Linked DNA regions of Rattus norvegicus. The protein of the gene in region 3 purifies or fractionates together with the protein of the main gene of each other region. This does not show direct contact. Links are inferred from orthologs where the notes say so. Each region holds a gene or a part of one and is shown on either strand. Other genes may lie near its edges.

Region 1 (5,383 bases), on a different chromosome or scaffold from region 3:
AGACATGCCTGGACGAAATCAATGGTGCCTGCCTATGGAATACATCTTCAGGAAGCACACTTGCTCATTAAATGTTTTCTTTACAATGTTTAAATGTTTAATTCTTTACAATGAATTAAAAGCCTGTTACTATTATTATACACCATAAGATTAAGGATTCAATAAAAACCCCTCTGGTGGGGTTGGGGATTTAGCTCAGTGGTAGAGCGCTTGCCTAGGAAGCACAAGGCCCTGGACAAGGCCCTGGGTTCGGTCCCCAGCTCCGAAAAAAAAAAAAAAAAAAAAAAAAAAAAAAAAAAAAAAAAAAAAAACCTCTGGTGAATTAAGGTGTAAGCTCAATGGTGGTGTTTGCACAGAATCAGATGTACCACCAAATGACAGAAATAAAACATCTCTTGATAGATCGAGTGCAGTTCCTTAAATCTAACTGAGGGCTACATGACTACATACCTGTTGTCATAAGAAAAGGGAGAAGCAAGAGTCTCATCAGGGAAGTGGACAGAAACACTGGGAATGCATGAGAGCCACCTCACAATTTTGCCTAAGCAAACTTAGCAACTCTGTGAAGGTCTAAAAATTAGGTGAAAACACTGGCCTAACACATCAACCATTTGTGTCCTAGCCTTTACCAGCCTGGCTTTATTTATCACCTGTAAATATAAATGTCCACAAATTATTCTTAGCCATTTTATAAAGTTTAAGTTCCACCCCTCTTTGAAACTGACAGATTTTTTTTTTTTTTGGTTCTTTTTTTTCGGAGCTGGGGACCGAACCCAGGGCCTCGTGCTTCCTAGGCAAGCGCTCTACCACTGAGCTAAATCCCCAACCCCGAAACTGACAGATTTTAAAAAGCCAAATGCTTGTCATTTCATTTAAATTATGTAGAATCCACTTTTCAAATAAAATACTGCCCTCCTACTCTTAGAACCAACAAAGGAAATAAACTCAGGCACAAAACCACAGAGACAGGAAAAATTCTGGTCCTTGCATTTCTCATTATTCTTGACTAGAAAAAAGTATAATTTTCACTTGTGATCCTACACACAGAGCTAGGGACCAACTTATTCTTGAAAATATGTAACATAGGGTTAAAGCACTAGAGACCAACAGTAGGCAATGGAAAATGCTTCATAACTCGGTAAAATGATTTAAAACAGGGTGGGAAATGTCCTCTTCCACACACTCGCATCGCTTACTACACTGATGCACCCATTACACCAAACACTGTTCCACAAAGTTAATGATAAGAGTCCAATCCAACCTACATCATTTTACTGAGTAACCTTTAGCCACCTGACATTTCTGAGCCCTAGTTTCCTCCTGTGTAATTCAGTGGACTATGAGATATATTATAAGGTATACAGAAATGCTTGGCATGTGGCAGATACATATATGTGAGTCTTCGGAGATGACAGATATTGCAGATTCTAGTATAATCTCTTGGCAAGAAGTAAACAAAAAGATCTGACAACAGTAAAGAAGGACTAGCTAATCCCGTCTTTTCTCTCAAATATCCTTCTCAGCACTGTATTTCAAAGAACCACAGAACAACTGTCCCATCAATAACTTTAAATACAAAAGATTTCAAATTTGGAGCCTATAATTTTGAAGTTTTACCCACTTGTTCACTAACAAGTAAACTCAAAAATATTATAGAAGCAAAAACAATGTGGGATAAGAAACTGGTAAATGAGTGCCACTGGCAAGAGGCCATATAGGTAAGATGCAAACTAAAACTCAAATAAATACGTATGAGTTCGCTTTATGACTGCTTGAAATTTACTGTGTAGAACAAGCTGGCCTCAAACTTGCAGTAATCCTCCTGCCTCAGCTTCTGGAATCACATGAGCCACCACGCCCAGTTTAACAATCATATTTTTAGAAGACCTCTTTTCTATAGTAAAGTAGTGCGGGGCGAACCCCACAGGTTGAAGGCAAAAAAGTACAACTTGGGAGGTGGGTTATACGCTAAAACAAATAATATTTTAAAATCCACATTTCCCATTTTGATTGCCTATGCAAACAAACTCAATTCTGTAAAATATACTTCAGGCGATTAAAAAGTGGCCGGATATATTTTATGCTCCAGTACTAATGATGATTACAGTCTCGGAGTTGTATCGTCCGTATCACTAGTCTGTATTTTACTGTTACAAACACAGGTAAAAGGAAAACAGGTGGTCGCCTCACAGCTCTGTAGAGCTCATACTGCTTCACATTCATCCAGGGAAATCCTCCTTAAAACACATGCCAAGTTTCACACACAGTAATCAAAAGAAGGCCCCTTTCTATAATATCACAAGTTTCACGTCGGCGGAAAACACTGAATGGTCCAACATATTCCAGGGAAGTGGACAGCTTAAACCATAGCTTGACTAACCAACAGGAAACCCAGAGATCATTAACACGTCAAGGCCTGTAAGAAATAAACGGACGCGACAATTTCCGTGAAGGTTCAGGATAATCAACAACACACCTCACAGGGCTCGGAAAGGAAACACGTAAATCTCTATGGGTCTAGGCCCAACGGCCCAAGGTCACGCCAAATGTGAAGCTGAAAAATTCCAAGCAATGAGCCCCCTGCAGATCAGAGCAACCGTGCCTAGGTTGGAGTCTGGGCTTGGGAACACTCGTGTCGGATCTTTAATGTGAACCCCAACTGAATGCAGCGGCTCCGTGGGCAAACCCCAGAGTGTTTTGGGCCGCATTTCCTCCATTTCCCCAGCCTCCCCCTTCCCAATCGCCCCCACACTCACATCTCCGGAGCCACTTCATCCAATGGTAGACGATTGTACTGTGGTGTTTCTTATTTTCTATACACCAGGACGACAAGCCTTGAATGGATTCCATGGTGTTGGTCACCGACTGGAATTTTCGATCCAACGAGGACTCCAGGGCCCCTGCGGACGAGGCCGACGAGGAGGAGGCCTTACTGCTGCCTCCGCCGCCGCCGGCCGCCATCTTCCCGGTTTGCACAAGCGCCGCTGGTCCTCTGGCGGCGGCGGCGGCGGCGGCGGGAGCGGGCAAAACAATCACTGCGAGTGCGTGAAAGCAGCAGGAGGGGAGGGAGGCCAGGGGGTGGGGATGGTGCACGCGCTAGGCTCTTCTGGAGGTAGGAAGGGTAGCTGCTGGGCACGCTGGCGGCTCCCACACGCTGCAAGGAGGGGCTGCGAGTTGCGAAGGTTTGTCAGTATGGTTCGGGGGTGGTGTTTAAACCAGTAGTCGGGAGAGAACTACGTAGAAAACAGGACCTGCGACGCCTTTCAAAATGCCCAGCGCCGAAAACTAATGGTTTTATCCTCTACGGTCCTCTCAACTCTCAAGGCCCTTCCCTCATCCCGTTGCCCAAACTCCGGTGAGCCAGGGAGGCCTTAGTACCGAAAACGTAATACCGTAATACTACCCGGCTGTCCCTTCGGTTGCAGAAAGCTTTTCCTTTAGATTCTCTACCACAGAAAAGGCCCAAAGCTACCTAGTCAGAATTTTTTTTTTTTTTTTTTTTTTTTTGGCAACGCAATAGCAGCAATGGACCAGCAAAAAAGCAATGCGCACGCGCACGGAAGCCCCGCCCCTCTGCTTCCGAGCGCTGGGAGAGGCGGGTTGGCGCTGCAATCTGACCAATCAAGGGAGGGGTCGGAGAAGCGCGCGCAAGAGTCCTCCGGCCCCAAACGCGGAGGAGGCGCTACGTTTATTTGTGCGCCTGCGCGTTAGTTGTTCGCGTAGCGGGTTGGGAGGAAAACCTGGGAAGGCAGGATGAAGGAGCTGGCGAACCTACGACGTTAATAGCCCGCGTTCGGTGCTCGGCACTGCTTTTGGCTTCATGGTGGGGTTACTCACTTGGGGCCTTTAGCTCACACTAGGCAGAGAAATGCCCATCCTTCTGGGGCCACTGTTTCTGACAGCTGCATTCCCTACCACCCGCAATCGGGGACCTACGCGCGACAAAATGGCTGGCACCCATCTTGCGGCATGGTAGAAGGTGCGCATGCGTCAGATCCAGTAGCCGTTCTCTATGCACTCCTAGACTCCTGCTATACATCCGACTTCGATGACACCATTCACAGCCAGCCGACCGTCTGCATTCTAGAAAGCGGGAATAAGAAAAACGAAATTTTCTCTAAGAGTTAAAAACTTATAGAAGCGAGGAAAGAGTAATTGACAAGATGTGGCTTCTTTGCACAGTTGTAACATCACAATTTCGTAATGCGTTATAGTTTACAAGAGTCTTGAGTATTGGATTTATTAGGATAGCCTCAGTTTAACCATTACATCTGATCTGCCTGTGTGAATCTTTTGGGGAAATTTGGATGTTCGTGTATTCCTACTGAACCCAGCAATTTCATTTTAATTAGGCCAACTCAACAGAAGAGAGATTTTTGAGGCAAGAACCCTGTTTCATCATTTAGAATTAACCTCTCTGTGCCAAGAACTGTTTTAGGATTAGGGAAATGATGGCAAAGCAGACAAAAATTCCTCCAACTTGATTTGGCATCAGGACCAAACCACAAGTATGTGTCAAGGAGTAAGGAGTCCTAAAGAGGTACGAAATAAGCTAAGGGAGAAGGACGGGGGATATGAATAACAATGATGTGACCAGTTTTTAACAAGAGATACTTGAGGAAAAAGCAACCAAGCACAAATGGGTAGGGGAGAAGAGCTGGCAAAAGAACAAGTGCTGATTCCCTAACCCAGGACTGTTAACGTTTTAGAGGAAGAACAAGGAAGCCACTGTGACTAGAAGATACTGAGAAAGCCACTAAGACAAGAGGCAGAAGAGGTCAGAAGCAAAGAGGGCACGTGTAGGGAATTGAAAGCCACTGTTTCTTTTTTGTTTCTTTTGAGGTAAGGTTTCTCTGTGTAGCCCTGGATGTCTTGAAACTTGCTCTGTAGAGTCTGGTGTCCAGCTCGAGATCCTGTCTACCTGCCTCGGTCCTAAGTGCTGAGATTAAAAGCCTGCCACCATGCCCGCCTGACTTTGGGCTCTCTTTCTTTCATCCAAGCTTTGATTTTTATTTCTTAAAAAAGTTGTATATTTATTTTGCTTTCTGACTCTGTGCTTTTGCCTTCAACACTTACACAATGACTTTCTGCTCCTCAATAAGGAAAGCCAGCTTGATCCTGTCACGGTCACACTGGGCACACATGGAGCCACCATAGGCCCTGCTGGCGTGCTTCTTTTTCTTTGACAATCTCACAAGGACTTTGGGTCTCACAGCAGGAACCCCTCGAAGTCTGCCTGGGCACCCATGCAGATTTAGGTGTTTTCCTAACCTTGGAATAAAGGTGAATAGTCCTGTTGCCAGGGGTTCGAGACAGGTACTTTAGTTAGAGGCTATATTGTAGGAGAGCCTACAATGGTTTGTCAAACAGTGGACTGGAAGAT
Region 2 (5,541 bases), on a different chromosome or scaffold from region 3:
GGCCCAAGTCCATATCTGAACGTTCGGTTACGGATTAAATTGCACGTATGAGATTATACAGTTAGTACTTGGTTGTCATCCATCCAACGCATTATGGTATTGACGTCCAATTAACGAACGGGTGCTGGCAACCCAGGCTTTGATGACCACCCAACCCCAGTGTTTATTAGCAAGGCTCTCATTGCTGATCTCTCGTTTTAGGACTGGCCACACAAGGTAAGGACAATAGTGTGACTAAAAGTTAACGACTACACACGTCAAACAGTGACAGACTGCTGGCATCACCAGTTAAAATCATCTGTGTAGCCAGGTGTGGAAGCTCAATACCTTTAACCCCAGCACTCAGGAAGCAGAGGTGGGAAGATCTCTTGAGTTCAGGCCAGCCAGGGCTGCATGTAACACTCTTTATCCTGATTCTCACTAGGCAAGCAACCCTCCTAAGGTTACTTAAAGAGAGTTGGCTGTCATGCTGAAATTAACCCATAAGAATATAACTCAATGGGCTGGAGAGATGGCTCAGTGGTTAAGAGCAGTGATTGCTCTTTCAGAGGTCCTGAGTTCAAATCCCAGCAACCACATGGTGGCTCACAACCATCTGTAACAGGATCTGATGCCCTCTTCTGGTGTGTCTGAAGACAGCTACAGTGTACTTATTGCACTTGTAATAAATAAATCTTAAAAAAAAAGTTTTCTGGTCTAAATTCCTGTGAGTAACTTTTTAACCGATGACTGTATGACCCAAGGCAATATCACTTCCCCAGGCCCAGGCAGTCAACAGCTGGCCATGCATCTTCTCGGCTATCCGAGTTATGTTAAGAAAATGGAAGTATTATTGAAATCTCTGATCTCTCCTACACTCATCTTGTTCATCTTATGTCCTCTTAATATGATTACTGAAAATGAAGTGAGTTTGCTTGTATTGTCCCAATCTGACAGGTAAAACCTCTCCCCCAAAGCAATGAAAGGCAGCAGTTCACCATGACTGCTGACGAGAAAAAGGATACTGCTTCATGACTTCTTTGTACTTCACTGTGTCTCGAATATCTGAGGGGAAAGAGAGAGAATGGTTGCCTTTATTTTTTGAAGCATGACCTCATTTGTTGGGACTGACTTTGAACCTCCCAAGTAACCCAAGCTGTTCTCCTACCTCAGCCTTCCGAGTCTGAGGCTATACAGAAGTGTCACCATATCTTACCAGCATTTGCTTATACCCTCCTCTACACTTTCTTCCTGACTAGGGATAACTGCCAAGTATCCTATGAAGGATGTTAGACTCCTGGGCCTGGTGGCACACACCTTTAATCCTTGGGCTCGGGAGACAGAGGCAGATGGACCTCTGAGTTCAATACTGGCCTAATCTAGAGTAATTCCAGGACAGCCAAGACTACACAGAGAGACCCTGTCTCAAACAAACAAATAAACAAACAAAAGGTCAGAAGCTCTTAGTTATGATAGACTAAAATAAGATTACAAGTTTTAGACAATTTCAATGGTAGTGGGCACATGCACAGGAAAACCAATGAACAAATAAAAACAAGAAAAGAAAACTTACTAGCCGCTGCATGGTAATGAAGGCAATTCGTAGACATAGGAACAATAAAACTGTCTATTCAGATCTACCACCTCCTATCTGCCAGGGCTAGAGAGATGCTCAAAGATTAAGAGCACTTGAAGTTCTTACAGAGGACCCAGATTTAGTTCCCGGCACCCACATGGCAGCTCATAACTATCTGTAGATCCAGTTCCAGGGGTTCTGCATCCCTCTTCTGGCCTCTGCAGGAACCAGATACACCCATACATATAAAATGAAAGTAAATAAAAACAAACCTACCCCCTAGACACTAGATGAACAATATTACATTTTTATCCTTTAGTTTAAATAGAAAACTTGTTGCCCAATCTTTCCAAAATGATCAATGATTTTTGTTGTTGTTGTTGTTCTTGTTTGTTTATCAACACAGGGTTTCTCTGTATAGCCCAGGCTGTCTTAGAACTCTCTCTATAGAAAAAGCCGGCTTGTAACTCAGAGATCTGCATGTGGCTTCCTCCTGAGTGCTGGGATTAAAGGCGTGAGCCACTACTGCCTGGCCTAATCTATGATTCTTTTTTTTTTTTTTTTTTTTTTTTTGGTTCTTTTTTTCGGAGCTGGGGACCGACTAATCTATGATTCTTAAACAAGATTTCCACCTCCTAATTTGTATATGGGGTATAAGAAGCTTAATAGGATTAGCAAGAGACCTGGGAATCAGGCTCTGGACCCCCAAGAGCCCTGTCAGTGGATTACAGGCACTTTCATAATAAATCTACCCCTCACCCCCACTTTTTCTTTTCCAAACAAGGTTTAGCTATGTAAGTTGGACTGACTCAACTCTCAATATTCTGCCTCAGGCTTCCTTGGATCACACCAATACTAAATCTTTCTGATAGTCTCAAGCAGAACACTCTCCTCAAAACAACGCATATTTTTTTTTTTCTTTTTTTCGGAGCTGGGGACCGAACCCAGGGCCTTGCTAGGGCCTTGCTCTTGCTAGGCAAGCGCTCTACCACTGAGCTAAATCCCCAACCCCAACAACGCATATTTTTACACACACACACACACACACACACACACCCATAACTTTGGAAATGGAAGGAACCTTTCTACAGATCAGAGTGAATTATAGCAGAACTCATAAACTCTGACAAAAGAAACTAAACGATTCATGTGTCAGGTGGCACTGAGGACAAAGAGAGGGGGTAAATGAGAATGATACATAAGAGAGAGATAAATCTGAATAAGCAAGAAGCATGTTCTGGAACTCAGGCAAATCCACAGAAAAGCAGATAGTTAGTTAAAGAAGGCACTCACCAATATTGGCGGGAAAAGGGACTTCATGCACAGCCGGGTCCAGATTGATTACATATGGTGGACAGCCTTTGTTGTGCAGGTGTCCTGTGAGCCTCTGCAAAAACGGCGGCAGGGTCGAAGTTTGATGACCAAAGGACAGGAAAGGGCCCAGAGAATTCCCATTCCTTTCTGACTATTCTTATAACAATCTCCTTCTTCCCTCAACACTAAACTCTCAGTTTAAAAGCCATCTAGTTCCAGTACCTGATCTCTACCCTCCATCACGTCTTCGCTAACTTTGACCCTCTTTTCCTTCTCTGTCTCCTCTACTAAGACATTCACTCCGTGAAAGCAAGAACCATGTCGATATCATTGCCGCTGTATACTCAAGAGCTTAGAACATGATAGGTCAAACGAAGTGATTCTTTCACGACTCTTCACGCAAAACCAGTGATGCTGGCATTACCTCCCCCTGCCTGGGTCTTCGGAGAGCTGCCAATTCTCAGCAAGACTATTTCAGCTGTACCAAGCATACACTAAGGCTACGCAGGAGACTGCCTCAAGTGACCCAGGCTAGGGTTCGAGGCTTCGGGAAGGACCTGGAGTCAGAGGCCAGCCCCCAGAAAACCACGCGCCCAGACCCTCCAATTCCCCAGACAACTTCCTCTCGGGCCTGAGGCGCCATTACAGCCTCCACACAGTGCACGTCACCTGTACAAAGGTAGTTTTCCCGGATCCCGCCATTCCCAACACCAACAGACACACGGGGAGCTCCGGAGCCCCGGAAGCCTGGGGCTCGGCAGGAGCCGCGGGCGCCGCCATCTTTCCTCAGCCACGCCCACCACTCACAGATGGGCCTGCGGGCTGCGGACTCGCTGCATTAAGGGCTGTGATTGGTAGAAAAATCCGCCCTCTTGCGTATAGGGCTACGATTGGTCGGACGATCCGGCCTCTCTGAGTTTAGAGCTGCAATTGGCCGGAATAGCCAAACCGCGCTTTGGGCACCAGACTGGCTTCTAAGCATCCGACTTACAGGGACTATAGATGCTGTACTGTAGGTGCCAATAATGGCTTTGGACTAGTGACCAGGAGTATAGGGAACCAGAAAGGGTTGATAAGGGTAAGGTAGGACCCGGGAACGGCAAAGTTCCCAGGGGCGTAATGACGTGGGATCCCAAGCCAGGATCTGTTAAGATCCTAAGGTTAACGGACTAAGGTGGCGTTCCACCCTTTATTTTATTGGCTAAGAAGGAAAAAAAAAACTTTAAGCGTCATTTCGTTCAAGAAAATATTAAGTAAAAATTAACGTAACACTTGAAAGATAGCATGAGGGGTTGGGGATTTAGCTCAGTGGTAGAGCGCTTGCCTAGGAAGCGCAAGGCCCTGGGTTGGGTCCCCAGCTCTGAAAAAAAAAAAAAAGAAAAAAAAAAAAAAAAAAGAAAGATAGCATGAATACTGTATTTTAAATAACAGAGGAAGAAACCTCATCACCAAATGCAAAGGGGAATTAAAGAACCGAAGGGTGTTTGTGGCTCAAGTGTAGCTGAGTAATACCGGAGGTTATGGGTAGAGGAAGGGTGGAAGAATCTCATGAGGAAAGGACCGTATGACAGAGACTGTAACCAAAGTCTTATTTGCTCACCCGTATGGCCATTCGTCCAAGGGAAAAAGAAAAGACTAGATGGTGAACCAAAGGCCCAAGGAACCAGAAGGCTTCTTTTTTTTTTTTTTTTTTTTTTTTTTTTTTTTTTGGTTCTTTTTTTCGGAGTTAGCGCTCTACCACTGAGCTAAATCCCCAGCCCCCAGAAGGCTTCTAAAAAGTCCCCTTTAAGAGTGAGATAAAGGGTTAGGGTTGTAGGTCAAGGGTGGCCCTGGGTTTTGATGACATTCTTGGAGAATGGATAAAACTGTTGAAGAACAAAAAGGTTGTCTATATCTATACATATCTCATTTTATAATGAAGTGTGCAGGCTGTCGAGAGGACTAGTTGGTAAAGTGCTTGCTGCGCAAACGTAAGGGCCAGAGTTCAGACCCCAGCACTCACATGAAAGCCCAGGCATGGTAGATTGTGGCTATAATTCCAGTGCTGAAGAACTAGAGACCGGAGAAACCCAGCAGCTCAGTGGCCAGCTAGCTTAGCCAAAGTAATCAGCTCCAGGATCAGTGAACAACGTCTTCTTTTTCTTTTTTTCTTTTTTTTTCGGAGCTGAGGACCGAACCCAGGGCCTTGCGCTTGCTAGGCAGGCACTCTACCACTGAGCTAAATCCCCAACTCGAACAACATCTTCTTAAAATACCACCAAATGGATAGTGATTGATCTTACCTGACTCAGGCCCTCTCTGGGCAGCACTGTCTGGCTTGTGTTACCTTCTAGCAGTTCAGTTAGTTTAACCGTGATGACATTTAAATTTGGTGTCTTTTTTAGTTACAGTTACGTGTGTGAGCGTGCATGTATGTAGGCCTGCATACCATAGTTTGTGTATACGTTAGAGGACAACTTGTGGAACTCAGGACTCCCCACCATGTGGGCCCCAGGGATCGAACTCAAGTTGGAAAGCTTGGATGTGAACACCTGTAATTATTGACCCATCTCCTGGCTGTGGCATCAGCAATATGGCCAGTTGAAGTTTTGTGTGGGGAGATTCTCTGATGACCTTTAATATCCTCTCAGAAGGAGAAGAAGGAAAGGGAGAGGGAAGAAAAGAAGAAGGGA
Region 3 (5,461 bases):
TTTTTAAAAACTCAGGGTAAGGGGTTGGGGGTTTAGCTCAGTGGTAGAGCGCTTGCCTAGGAAGCTCAAGGCCCTGGGTTCAGTCCCCAGCTCCGAAAAAAAGAACCAAAAAAAAACCAAAAAAACAAAAAAAAAACCCACTCAGGGTAAGCTAACTCGCAAGGGGCTAGTCATTTTCAGTGTCAGAGTACAAAACCCTTTTCTATTTTAATATAGGGGTACTATCAGTTTACAAGGGAAGCTGGACAGGAGATGAATACGCATTTCAGAGCTTGAGTAAGAACTCTAGTTCTGCGAGATTCAATCTGGTAGCCATCAGCCATGGTGGCCAGTCACCACTTAATTGAGATAATAAAACTGGATCTTCAATTATATTTATTCTTTGTCATCATTTTAAATGTCCAATAGCCACATGTAGATAGTGACTGAGGACAGGTTATTTCTCTGCTGGTGAAATGAGTCAGTTTAAGCCAGATGAGAATATATTAAAGGCTGGTTTATTGGAAAGCCGCTGTCCAGTGGACAAATTCACTGGCCCCAAGGAAGGCTGTGGAAGTCGCTATGGATGCAGGGGGTGTGGAGAAAGGGTGCTCAAGCTGAGAGAAGAGGAGAAAGAAACTAAAATGTCTGGATTAATCGGGAAGAGCCTCTAGGGGAAGGGCAGACCAGACCCTGGGCTGGAAAGTTCAGGGTTGGGGGCAGGGTATGCCAGGTAGGGACTAAGGGATGCTGGGAGAATCTGGAAGCCAGGTCTGCTTTGATATGTAAAATATGCATCTCAGTCCCTTGTCCCAGGTCCAAAGCCAAATCGCCCAAGAGCAGCTTCCCAATTTAATCTGGCTTGAATTGGTTTGTTTCACCAGAAATAACCTATGAGCTGCCTTGTGGAGAACAGAGGCACAGAACAGCAATTGCCACAGATAGTTAAACCAGTGCCAATAAGGTCCTTCCTCTACTCAAACCTGAAAACATCAGAGGGACAACCACACTACTAAACTAACTGTTACTTCACGACAGATAAACAAACCTAGAGAGATGTAACTACACTGAGGTAAGGCAAGTGGTGGGATGGGACGGCAGAGAATACAGTGGAGGAAAACTCCTCCAATAAACACCATTAAAGCACCAGGAACTTGAAAAAGCATTAAGTCTGGTATCAGTCCTCCCTGGGTCCAATCCCAGTTTAGACCTCTGGACAAGCCACATCTTGCTGCATCTTTATCTACTGTGAAATGGGGATAAGAACGCCAGCCTACTTGCTATGTAAGGCCCATGAGATAAGATTATTGATAAAGGAGCCTCTCTAAATGGCTATTTTTCAGGAACTCAAATAGGGTAAGGTGAGGAACTAACAAAGAAGGCTTCACAAAAGAAGTCTGGGATGGGCTAACAATTTCAAGATGATCAAGAGACTCTGCTGAAGGGAATTCAACTAAGGTCACCGATAGTTTTCTCATGTCTCCACATGCTGCAGCTACGCTCTACCTAGCTGCCCCAGAGGGCTGAAGGGATTCCTATGTCAGTAGAGCAAACCATAACTGGGAGGCTCTGCAAGAAACCTAGAGTGCAGTCTCCTGAATAAACCTGGAGTTTGCTGCCTGCCATGCGTCTTCTTCAGTTCGAAGACTTTGACTAAACCATTCTCCACTTCGGTTTCCTCATCTACAACAGAGGGCAGAGACGCTCATAAAGTTACTTCCACTAAGCTTCGACTCTTCAGTCTTCTGCTAAGGAACCCAGCACAGTGTGAGTTAGCACTGTACCTACCTGCTGCTCCACACCAGGATGTAGCAAGCTGAAGGCAAAGACCAAGCTGTACACTGGGCATTCAACAGTCTTAACTTAGCACTTCTACTGAAAACCTGCACTGTGCCCACAGCACACTAAAATGCTTACTGGATTATCCTGGCTTCTTACCAGAATCTGCTTTGTTGAGCCCTGTGTTTTCCCCATCTGTAAAATTCCTACTTCAAAAGGCCTCAAGAATTAAAAAACAAAACAAAAAACCAAAAAAGAACAACAAAAGAACCACCCAGTATAGTGGCACAAGCTACTAATCCCAGCATTTGGGAGGCAGAAGCAGGTCTGAGTTGGAGGCCAGCCTGGTCTACATAGGGAGTTCCAGGCCAGTAAAGGCTAAATAGTAAGGTTCTGTACTGAAGCAAAAACAAAAGCAACCTGCATAAAGACAGTGGCACATGATAAAGCCATAGTAACATAAACTACCATCCTCTCCGTTTTCTATATAAGGAAACATAAAGGACATAAAGGTTAAGCTGTTAGGATAAGTGACAAAGACAGGCTTAACTTCCAGACAGTGACCAGAAACAACCTGCATCTAACACAGGGCCTGGCAAGAAACAGGTAGAGCTCTGTGAATGTCAGATTCTCAGAGTCTGAATTTAGTGCAGAAAGCTACCCAATTTACCGGCCTGTTCTGAAGTCTATGGATAGTAACTAACATGGGGTCAAGGCTTTGTAAGGACAGGTAAGTTTGTGTCAGTTTTACAGATTAGAATACACAGGCACAGGGATATGAAGAAACGTTCCCAGTATCACTTAGTTAGAACACGTTTGGGCCAGGTCTCAATGTAGGCAGTCTGACCAGAGACGGCTGGATCTTATTCCAAATGCCCAATACTAGGCTCCCAGCTCCAAGCACAGCCACGATTTAAAACAAAATAAAACAAAAAACAATTGTCGTAAAGTGTGAAGGGGAGCCTGAAGAGGAAAGCAGCTTAATAACTTCAAGTCTGGGCATTTGCACCCTTGGAACCTCAGACGAATATCACATGCCTTACTGGGCCTCAGTTTCCCTCTCCAAGAAATAAAATATCAGTTTCCAATCTCAGAACCTCAATCAGAGACCCAGGCCTGCAAAGCAAGGCTTAATTAAGAAACTAGAGGGGTGTGGGAAAGTGGATGAGAGTGCACACCCATGGGAGAGCCCAGGGGTGGGGGTGATCACCTTTGCGGAGCTCGCGGTGCCACACGGAGACGATGGGTCCTGCGTGCTTGCGGTGGTGGATGAGCCACAGGGATAGGGTCTGCACACTCTGCTGAGAGTTGCTCAGCTCTGAGAGCTTCTTTTCCAACGCCGACTCTGAGAAGGAGGACATGGTGGCGGTGGTAAGGAACGGCCTGGGCCGCCCGATGAGTCGGGGAAAGCGACCGCACTCAGCCCAGGCCTCCGCTGACAGGCTGCACGGCTCTCCGCCGACTGACAGACAGCTAGGGGTACCAGGTGGGGGGAGGGGACAGGTCTCCGCAGTAACAGCCGCCCGCGCCGCCGCCACAAGATGGCCACCCGACCTCTCACCCCGCCGCCACGGGGTCAAAGGGCAAGGGCCACCGCCGGGCGCCGAGAGGTTCGCAGCCGGAGGAAAACGACCCTTAGGAGGCAGCACTCTCCTTGGGCCTTGTTGAGAGGACTTCGAACCGAACAGGCCGAGAGAACAAATCCAGGTCCTCGAACACCGAAAAGCGCTTTAACCACTCGCGCCCGCGCGCCGGCGCAGTGAGCCTCACCGGAACCCTTTTTCCCGCTCCCGCAGAACCTTTCTGGCGCGGCGCGACGCACTACTTTTTCGTCATTTCCGTCTAGGGTGCTGGAGGCGGGAGAGTGGGGGAAAGACTGGAAGACGAGGTAAGAGTGGCGGGAGTGTGAGGGAGCTCAGCCGTTTAGGAGCGTCCAGAAGCGAATCCTTAGGGGACACTGAGGCAGGAAGCGCGGGACCTGGGTGTGGGAAGAGCTGCGTCGCTGCTGGCTCGCTTAAGCCACACCTCCCTCCGTGCTTGATCCCTCCCCCCCTTCCCGCGCTCCTCTAGTTCTATTAAAGACACGAACCCTTTGCAGGCCCCCCCAGCTTGGTTCCTGTTCTGTCTTCAGAAGTGATGCCCCTTTTCTCACCTGATGGAACTGCGCCGTCTACTGGCCTCGACTGAAAACCCCCTTTTTTGAGGGGTGTAATGACTTAAAGAGTAATAGTGCTTGTTATGCAAGAATCAGGATATCTGAGTTCCCATCATTAACTAGCCCAAGTTGGTGGCCTGGTCTGTAACTTCAGTACTCTGGGACTGAGACAGGAAGATCGCTGGAGCTTGCTAGATGCCTGCTTAACTCCAGGTTCAGTGAAAGACTCAGTCTCAAAAGAATAAGCTGGAAAGTGGTTGAGCGGGACACCTGACATCTCTCTGTGCGCTCACCCCCCCCAAGACACACACCTACAACTTTCCTGACCATTGTTGAACTTCTTAGATGTGGGCCCCTCCTATAGACATTCCTATAGTTGATGCCTGGTTTTCTTCACTTCTCTGTTCCTAATATAAGTGCTTTGACCCTTCACCCTTCACATCATGATCATAGATAGTCTAGTGAGAACATTTCTGTGTGCTAGACACTTTTCAAAGCTTTGAAGTAGGTATTATTTTCTCACGCTTTAACAGTCGAGGAAACAGAAGGTTACAGAGGTGTGGAGTTCCCAAGCTCACATAGCTAAGATCTGAATGAAGAGACTGTATCTCAGTGTTTCCCAGCATCTGGGATCAGAGCTGAGTTCATAGCCGATTGAGTGAATTAATGCACAAGTCAACACCTTGTAATGATATATGTATGATGGTGCACACCTTTAATTCTAACTCTTGGGAGGCAGAGGCAGGTGGGTTTCTGAGAGTTCCAGGCCAGCCTGGTCTGTGTAGTAAATTCCAGACCAGCTTTTAAGACCCTGCCTTTAAAAAAACAGGTGTGGGGGTGTGTGTGTCTGGGGGGCCTAGGGCTTTTGAGACCGCATCTAAACAGTTGCTGAGTACTGAGTAACTGTCATGTTCTGAGTACCCTTCCTTGTACTGAGTCTATGTATCCAGCATGTTACTATTTCTAAATTCCAGTCCTTAACAACGATGCTCTGGCGTGGGAACCGTTTGGTAATGAGAACACATGACTGGGAGTGAGTAACCTATCCAGAGCTGCTCAGGCATAGCCAGGAAATGGCAAAACTAGAATTCAGTTAAGGTCTCCTGATCCCAAATTCTTCACGTATTACCCAAAGGTTCCTTCATAATTTCTGAGCATCTGTGTCTGAAGCACTGTTCTGGGCAAACAGACAAGCTGTCCCTGTCCTTGGAAGCTTGCCTTCTAGAGAAGAGAAAAAAATGGGCATGCAAGTATAAAATGAATCAAAAGGTGATTTGTATAAAAATCCAGGAAGCCAAGTGGGTAGAGAATGCATGGGCTTGAGAAAATATAAGTTGGTCACATAGGAGTATATTCTGTATGCTATATGCCCTTCCCAGAGGGTAAAGTAACATTTGGTTGCTTGCCAACGCTGTCTTTCCAGGTAGTGAGAAAACCAACTTCAAACCTTTGTTTGCAATTTTGAGGACTTGAAAAGATGGTTTTACCAGAGTGATAGAAATCAGAAGGGTAGTTAGACATAAAGCCAGAAGAGTATGGAGGGACCGT
Region 4 (5,330 bases), on a different chromosome or scaffold from region 3:
AAGACTTTTGGTGCGTTTCTCTCTATGGAGTCCTGACAAGTGGAGCTCAGCTGTGCAGTATTAGGCAGACCAATGCATGCATGCCATTCGCAAAGAATCCTTCACCGCATGTCTTTTCACGTGCTTGCTTTAGCAGAACAGCCTTGCTCCTGTGTCTGCTTCAGCTAAATGTTCCTTCATGAGTCTGCTTCGTCTTTCTCCTGTGTCCACTTCAGGAACACACCCCTTCATGTGTTTGCCCCAGCAAAACAGCATCTGACAATCCCTAAATTTCCACTTTGCCCAGGACTTCAACAGCAAAGGCAAGAGAATTGTTAAAAGTTCAAGGCAGGGGTTGAGGATTTAGCTCAGTGGTAGAGCGCTTGCCTAGCAAGCGCATGGCCCTGGGTTAGGTCCTCAGCTCCAGGGGAAAAAAAAGTTCAGGGCAAGCTTACTCTACAAAGCAAATCTCAGGTCATCCATGGTCACATAATAAAACCGTCCCTCAAATAGAAAAGAAAGTAAGCCCAGTGCGTGCCCACATAAGTAATCTTTTTGCTTGTTGTCTTTTTGTTTTGTTTAACAAGACACTTTCATTTTTTTTTTCCGGAGCTGGGGACCGAACCCAGGGCCTTGCACTTGCTAGGCAAGCGCTCTACCGCTGAGCTAAATCCCCAACCCCGACACCTTCATTTTTAATGTATCCCTGGCTGTTCTGGAACTCATGCTGTAGACCAGGTTGGCCTTGAACTTGAAGACCCACCTGCCTTTTGTTCCTGAATATTGGGATTTAAGGCGTGTGCCACACTTCCAAGTGACTTCTTCTTAATTAGGTGTACTCAATGATGTCTGTTATCTGTATGTGAGTACAAGCCCACAAGTGCTGGTACCTCCTGAGGCAATGAGAAAGTTTCAGATCCCCTTCGAGCTGGAGTTGTGAGACCTCGGGTGCAGTGTTAGTAATTGAACTCAGGTCCTCTTCGAGAGCTTTATTTTTATTTTATGTGTAAAAACCTTTATTTTTATTTTATATGTATGAATGTTCTGGCTGTATCTATGCCTGTTCACCACAAGGGAGAAGTGTCCATGGAGGCCCCAGATGGCACTGGATCCCCTAGGATTGAAATATAGCTAGTTGAGTTACCATGTTTGTTCTAGGAATCAAACCTGGATCCTTCGGAGGAGCAACCATTGATTTTAACTGTTGAGCAATCTCCCCAACTACCTCATCTTTATTTTTATTTTACAAGCATCGGTGTTCTGCCTGCATTATGTCTGTGTACCACTAGCATGCAGTGCTGAATGAAGCCAGAAGAGGGTGTCAGTTCTCTCTGAACTGTAGTTACAGATAAGATTGTGAGCTATCCTGTGGGGGCTGGCAAGTGCTCTTAAGGACTGAGCTAATTCTTCAGCCCCTAAAATAAAATTTAAAAAACAATTTTTTTTTCTCTTTTTCGGAGCTGGGGACCGAACCCAGGGCCTTGCGGTTGCTAGGCAAGCGCTCTACCTCTGAGCCAAATCCCCAACCCCAAAAACAAATTTTTTTATAGGGTTTGTATACACAGTCTTGGTTATCCTGGAACTCACTTTGTAGATGTGGCTTAGCCTTGAATTTAGAGATCTGTCTGCCACGGCTGGGTTTAAAGGCATGTGGCGACAAGCCAGACCTCTTAACCTTTTTTTTTTTTTTTTTTTTTTTTTTTTAAGGTTTTTCGAGACCGGGTTTTTCTGTGTAATCCTGGCTGTGCTGATGAGCGCTGATGGGAAGGCCTGAGGGGCGGGGCTTCACGTTTCCCCGCCCATGGCGTTAAGACTCAAATCTGCGGAAGCGACTGCGGAGACTTGGTGGGACTTCTGCTAGTGCTTCCGGCGAGGTCCCTTCCTGGGGAGTTCTGGCCTCTGCGGTCCAAGCTTCTGCAGAAGATGTTTTATCATGTGAGCTGGACGCGGGGTAGCGGTGAGGGCAGGGACAGGAGGAGCCTGGAGGGCCGACGGGTCGCCTCCTGTTCTCAGTGTGGCTGGCGGAGTCTTCATCTTCCTTTCTCTGCAGATTTCCCTGGAGCACGAGATCCTACTGCACCCACGCTACTTTGGTCCCAACTTGCTCAACACGGTGAAGCAGAAGCTGTTCACCGAGGTGGAGGGGACCTGCACTGGGAAGTAAGTGTCTGATTCACAGTGTCGTCTGCTGAATGCAGGCACAATAACGCTACTCTGTAACCTCTACTTCACTCCTTCAGTCAGGGCTTGTTACTTACTCTGAGGAACTCTTTCACCACTCCAGGCATCCGAAGCAGCCAGTTTTTGCCTATTTTGGGCCTTCTAAAAGGTTGCTAAACCAAATTTTCTTCGCTTATGCGAGATCAGACCGTTATTATGCAAATGTTTTGGGTTTCGAGATGGCCTCACTATGTGGACCAAGCTGGCCTCTAATTCAGAGAACTGCCTGCCACTGAGTGCTGGGATTAAAGGTTTTCGTCACAATTTTCTGTCTGATTTGTGGTTTTCGAAAGACCTGTCTCACCACTGACCTGGCAAGTCCTGGTACTGAGAGAATAGGTGTATGTCAGCATATCTGTGCCTTCTTGGGCATTTACTGTACAATTGTGAGAGCACCATTTAATATTTCAGGTGCTAATCTGAGTTCTGTCTCTTCTTGGTCATCGAGCTGTTCGAGCAGAGGTTCCATCACACGCAGACTATTGCTGGTGGCTTTTTAGAGGCTCTTCACATACAGTAGCTGTCTTTTTTCATCTTTCCTGCAGATATGGCTTTGTGATTGCTGTCACTACCATCGACAATATTGGTGCTGGTGTGATCCAGCCGGGCCGAGGTTTTGTTCTTTATCCAGTGAAATACAAAGCTATTGTTTTCCGGCCCTTTAAAGGGGAAGTGGTGGATGCTGTGGTCACTCAGGTCAACAAGGTAAGAGTATTATTTATAGAAAGGTTATGGGGTTGGGGATTTGGCTCAGTGGTAGAGCGCTTGCCTAGGAAGTGCAAGGTCCTGGGTTCGGTCCTCAGCTCCGAAAAAAAAGAAGAAAAAAAAAAAAAAAAAAAAGAAAGGTTACGGGGTATTTCCTAAGGTGAGAGTTCAATTCCCAGTCCACTTATTAGTTGCCTTAAGCCTTTTGTGGTTGTCAAGATTTATTTTATTTTATCTTAGTTTTGGGTTTTCTTTTCTTTTTTTTTTTTTTTTTTTTAAGGTTTGTTTGTTTATTTTTATTTATATGAGTACACTGTTGTCTTCAGACACATCAGAAGAGGGCATCAGATCCCATTACAGATGATTATGAGCCACTATGTGATTGCTGAGAATTGAACTCATGATCATTGGAAGAGCAATCAGTGCTCTTAACCGCTGAGCCATCTCTCTAGCCCCTGATTTATTTATTATACACACTCCTCTGTAGCTCTCTTCAGACACACCAGAAGAGGGCATCAGATCTCATTACAGATGGTTGTGAGCCACCATGTGGTTGCTGGGAATTGAACTCAGGACCCATGGAAGAGCAGTCAGTGCTCTTAACCACTGAGCTATCTCTCTAGCCTCAGAAATTAAGTTTCTTAAAGGCTAAGGGGTCTATAGCTCAGTGGTTTAGAGCACCTACTGGTTCTATAAGACCTGGGTTTGACTCCCAGCACCCAGCCAATGGCTCACAATAATCTGTAACTCCTAATTCTGCAGGGTCCCAATACCCTCTCCTGGCTTCCATGGGCACTGCAGGTACATGGTGCACAGGCACATGTGAGGTCAGAATATTCTTACACATAAAAATAATGAAGAACAAAAATGTAAAGAAATGAAAGATTACACAGAGAGAAATTAAAACAAATGCTACAATTTAAACTGTTAAGAAACATGAATAATGTGCCTAGAAATCAGGTAAAGATGCTTCAGAGCGTTTGAAGCACGGTCATTTTCCTTCTAGGTTGGACTTTTCACAGAAATTGGGCCCATGTCCTGCTTCATCTCTCGACACGTGAGTCTGGGCGTGTGGGGTGAGGCCGAGGAGGAGAAACCAGCCCCTGACTCTCATCCTTTGATGCAGCTATTTGAAATGCTAACCTTTGTGTCAATTTCCTTCTAGTCCATCCCTTCAGAGATGGAGTTTGATCCAAATTCGAACCCCCCTTGTTACAAGACCATGGATGAGGTGAGCGAATGAGGAGGAGTTGGTGAGAGGGATGAGGACCAGGCCTGAGTCTGCTTGATGACCCTGCTCTCTCCTTTCCACAGGACATTGTAATTCAGCAGGACGATGAGATACGCTTGAAGATTGTAGGGACACGTGTAGACAAGAATGACATTGTGAGTCTCTTGCTTGACTGGCCTGCCTTAGCCTCCTGGGTAGTAGGATTATAAATAATCCAAAGTCATCATTCACAGCTGACAGCTGTGGGTTTCTCGTTTCTTTTGTAGAACATATTTATGTGGATGTGTGGGCATACACACTCGCCACAGTGTGACATTTAGACCGCCTTCAGGTCATCGCATGCTGCTGTGGATTTTGGGGGTGGAGGTCAGGTCATCAGGGTTGGAGCAAGCTCTTTCCCCATCTGCGCTGTTGACCTCTTGCCATCCACAGTTGTTGGGGGCTCTGTGCTCTGTGTCCATGAGCAGGGAATAGATGACAGAAGGCTCGGAATGGGGTGGGGCCCCACCTCACCATCCTTTCTCCCTTTCCTCTCGCAGTTTGCTATTGGCTCTCTGATGGATGACTACTTGGGTGAGTGCCTGACATGGGTGCTGGGACCATTCCCTGGAGAAAGGATGTGCTGGAGAGGGGATGGCTGTAGGATTTAAATGCCAGTCAGAGATATAAGTTCTCATTCTGTTCCCTTGGAAATCCAAGATACCTTGTCTTTGGTGGTGGGAAATCTTTGGTTTTTGGCTGCCTGGGAACTCAGTGTCTAACTGATATTTTTTTCCTGATTTCACAGGACTTGTGAGCTGAGTGAGGGAGCCTCCAGCTTGCTTTGATCCTGATTTAGAAAGTGTGACTTTCCAACTTGAACTCAGCACCAACTTGACTGTCGTACCAGAGGTTCAATCTGGCCACTGTTATGGGGGCAGGGAAGAAGGCTCCTTGTCCCCAGAACACTTTGTTTCTTCCAGCTGAGCTGTGCTCTTATTCTCTTCTGTGTTCTAACCATAAACATGTTGTCCTTAGTTCTCAAGGAAATGTGTCTTCTCTTGGTAGGAATAAAAGTTGTTTATTTATTTTACTTTTGGTTTGGTTTTGTGCTTTTTTTTTTTTTTAATATTTATTTATTGGGTTGGAGGGATGGCTTGCAGGCATATAGGCAGGCAGAACATTGTGCACGTTATTATTATTTTTAGATTTATTT

The links.
Region 1: the proteins of Rprd1b (region 3) and Rprd2 purify together in Homo sapiens (affinity purification with mass spectrometry; 4 studies listed by BioGRID and IntAct, counting the BioPlex papers as one, with this or other methods). This does not show direct contact. The link is inferred for Rattus norvegicus from reciprocal best matches to the Homo sapiens genes RPRD1B and RPRD2.
Region 2: the proteins of Rprd1b (region 3) and Gpn1 purify together in Homo sapiens (affinity purification with mass spectrometry; 3 studies listed by BioGRID and IntAct, counting the BioPlex papers as one, with this or other methods). This does not show direct contact. The link is inferred for Rattus norvegicus from reciprocal best matches to the Homo sapiens genes RPRD1B and GPN1.
Region 4: the proteins of Rprd1b (region 3) and Polr2g purify together in Homo sapiens (affinity purification with mass spectrometry; 3 studies listed by BioGRID and IntAct, counting the BioPlex papers as one, with this or other methods). This does not show direct contact. The link is inferred for Rattus norvegicus from reciprocal best matches to the Homo sapiens genes RPRD1B and POLR2G.

Annotation. Positions count from the first base shown.
Region 1 is NC_086020.1:186,053,380-186,058,762, forward strand, and holds the start of Rprd2 (regulation of nuclear pre-mRNA domain containing 2), read right to left. Parts: upstream 3,565-5,383; 5' UTR 2,962-3,564; coding exon 2,757-2,961; intron 834-2,756; exon of another isoform or gene 753-833; intron 1-752.
Region 2 is NC_086024.1:30,681,346-30,686,886, forward strand, and holds the start of Gpn1 (GPN-loop GTPase 1), read right to left. Parts: upstream 3,667-5,541; 5' UTR 3,650-3,666; coding exon 3,539-3,649; intron 2,943-3,538; coding exon 2,849-2,942; intron 1,045-2,848; coding exon 1,005-1,044; intron 16-1,004; coding exon 1-15. UniProt on the Homo sapiens protein: Small GTPase required for proper nuclear import of RNA polymerase II (RNAPII). May act at an RNAP assembly step prior to nuclear import.
Region 3 is NC_086021.1:167,100,931-167,106,391, reverse strand, and holds the start of Rprd1b (regulation of nuclear pre-mRNA domain-containing protein 1B), read right to left. Parts: upstream 3,484-5,461; 5' UTR 3,120-3,483; coding exon 2,969-3,119; intron 1-2,968. UniProt on the Homo sapiens protein: Interacts with phosphorylated C-terminal heptapeptide repeat domain (CTD) of the largest RNA polymerase II subunit POLR2A, and participates in dephosphorylation of the CTD by RPAP2. Transcriptional regulator which enhances expression of CCND1.
Region 4 is NC_086019.1:215,118,155-215,123,484, reverse strand, and holds Polr2g (DNA-directed RNA polymerase II subunit RPB7), read left to right. Parts: upstream 1-1,828; 5' UTR 1,829-1,902; coding exon 1,903-1,914; intron 1,915-2,026; exon of another isoform or gene 2,027-2,029; coding exon 2,030-2,139; exon of another isoform or gene 2,140-2,744; coding exon 2,745-2,904; exon of another isoform or gene 2,905-3,910; coding exon 3,911-3,961; exon of another isoform or gene 3,962-4,069; coding exon 4,070-4,135; exon of another isoform or gene 4,136-4,218; coding exon 4,219-4,290; exon of another isoform or gene 4,291-4,674; coding exon 4,675-4,708; coding exon of another isoform or gene 4,709-4,785; exon of another isoform or gene 4,786-4,922; coding exon 4,923-4,936; 3' UTR 4,937-5,206; downstream 5,207-5,330. UniProt on the Homo sapiens protein: Core component of RNA polymerase II (Pol II), a DNA-dependent RNA polymerase which synthesizes mRNA precursors and many functional non-coding RNAs using the four ribonucleoside triphosphates as substrates.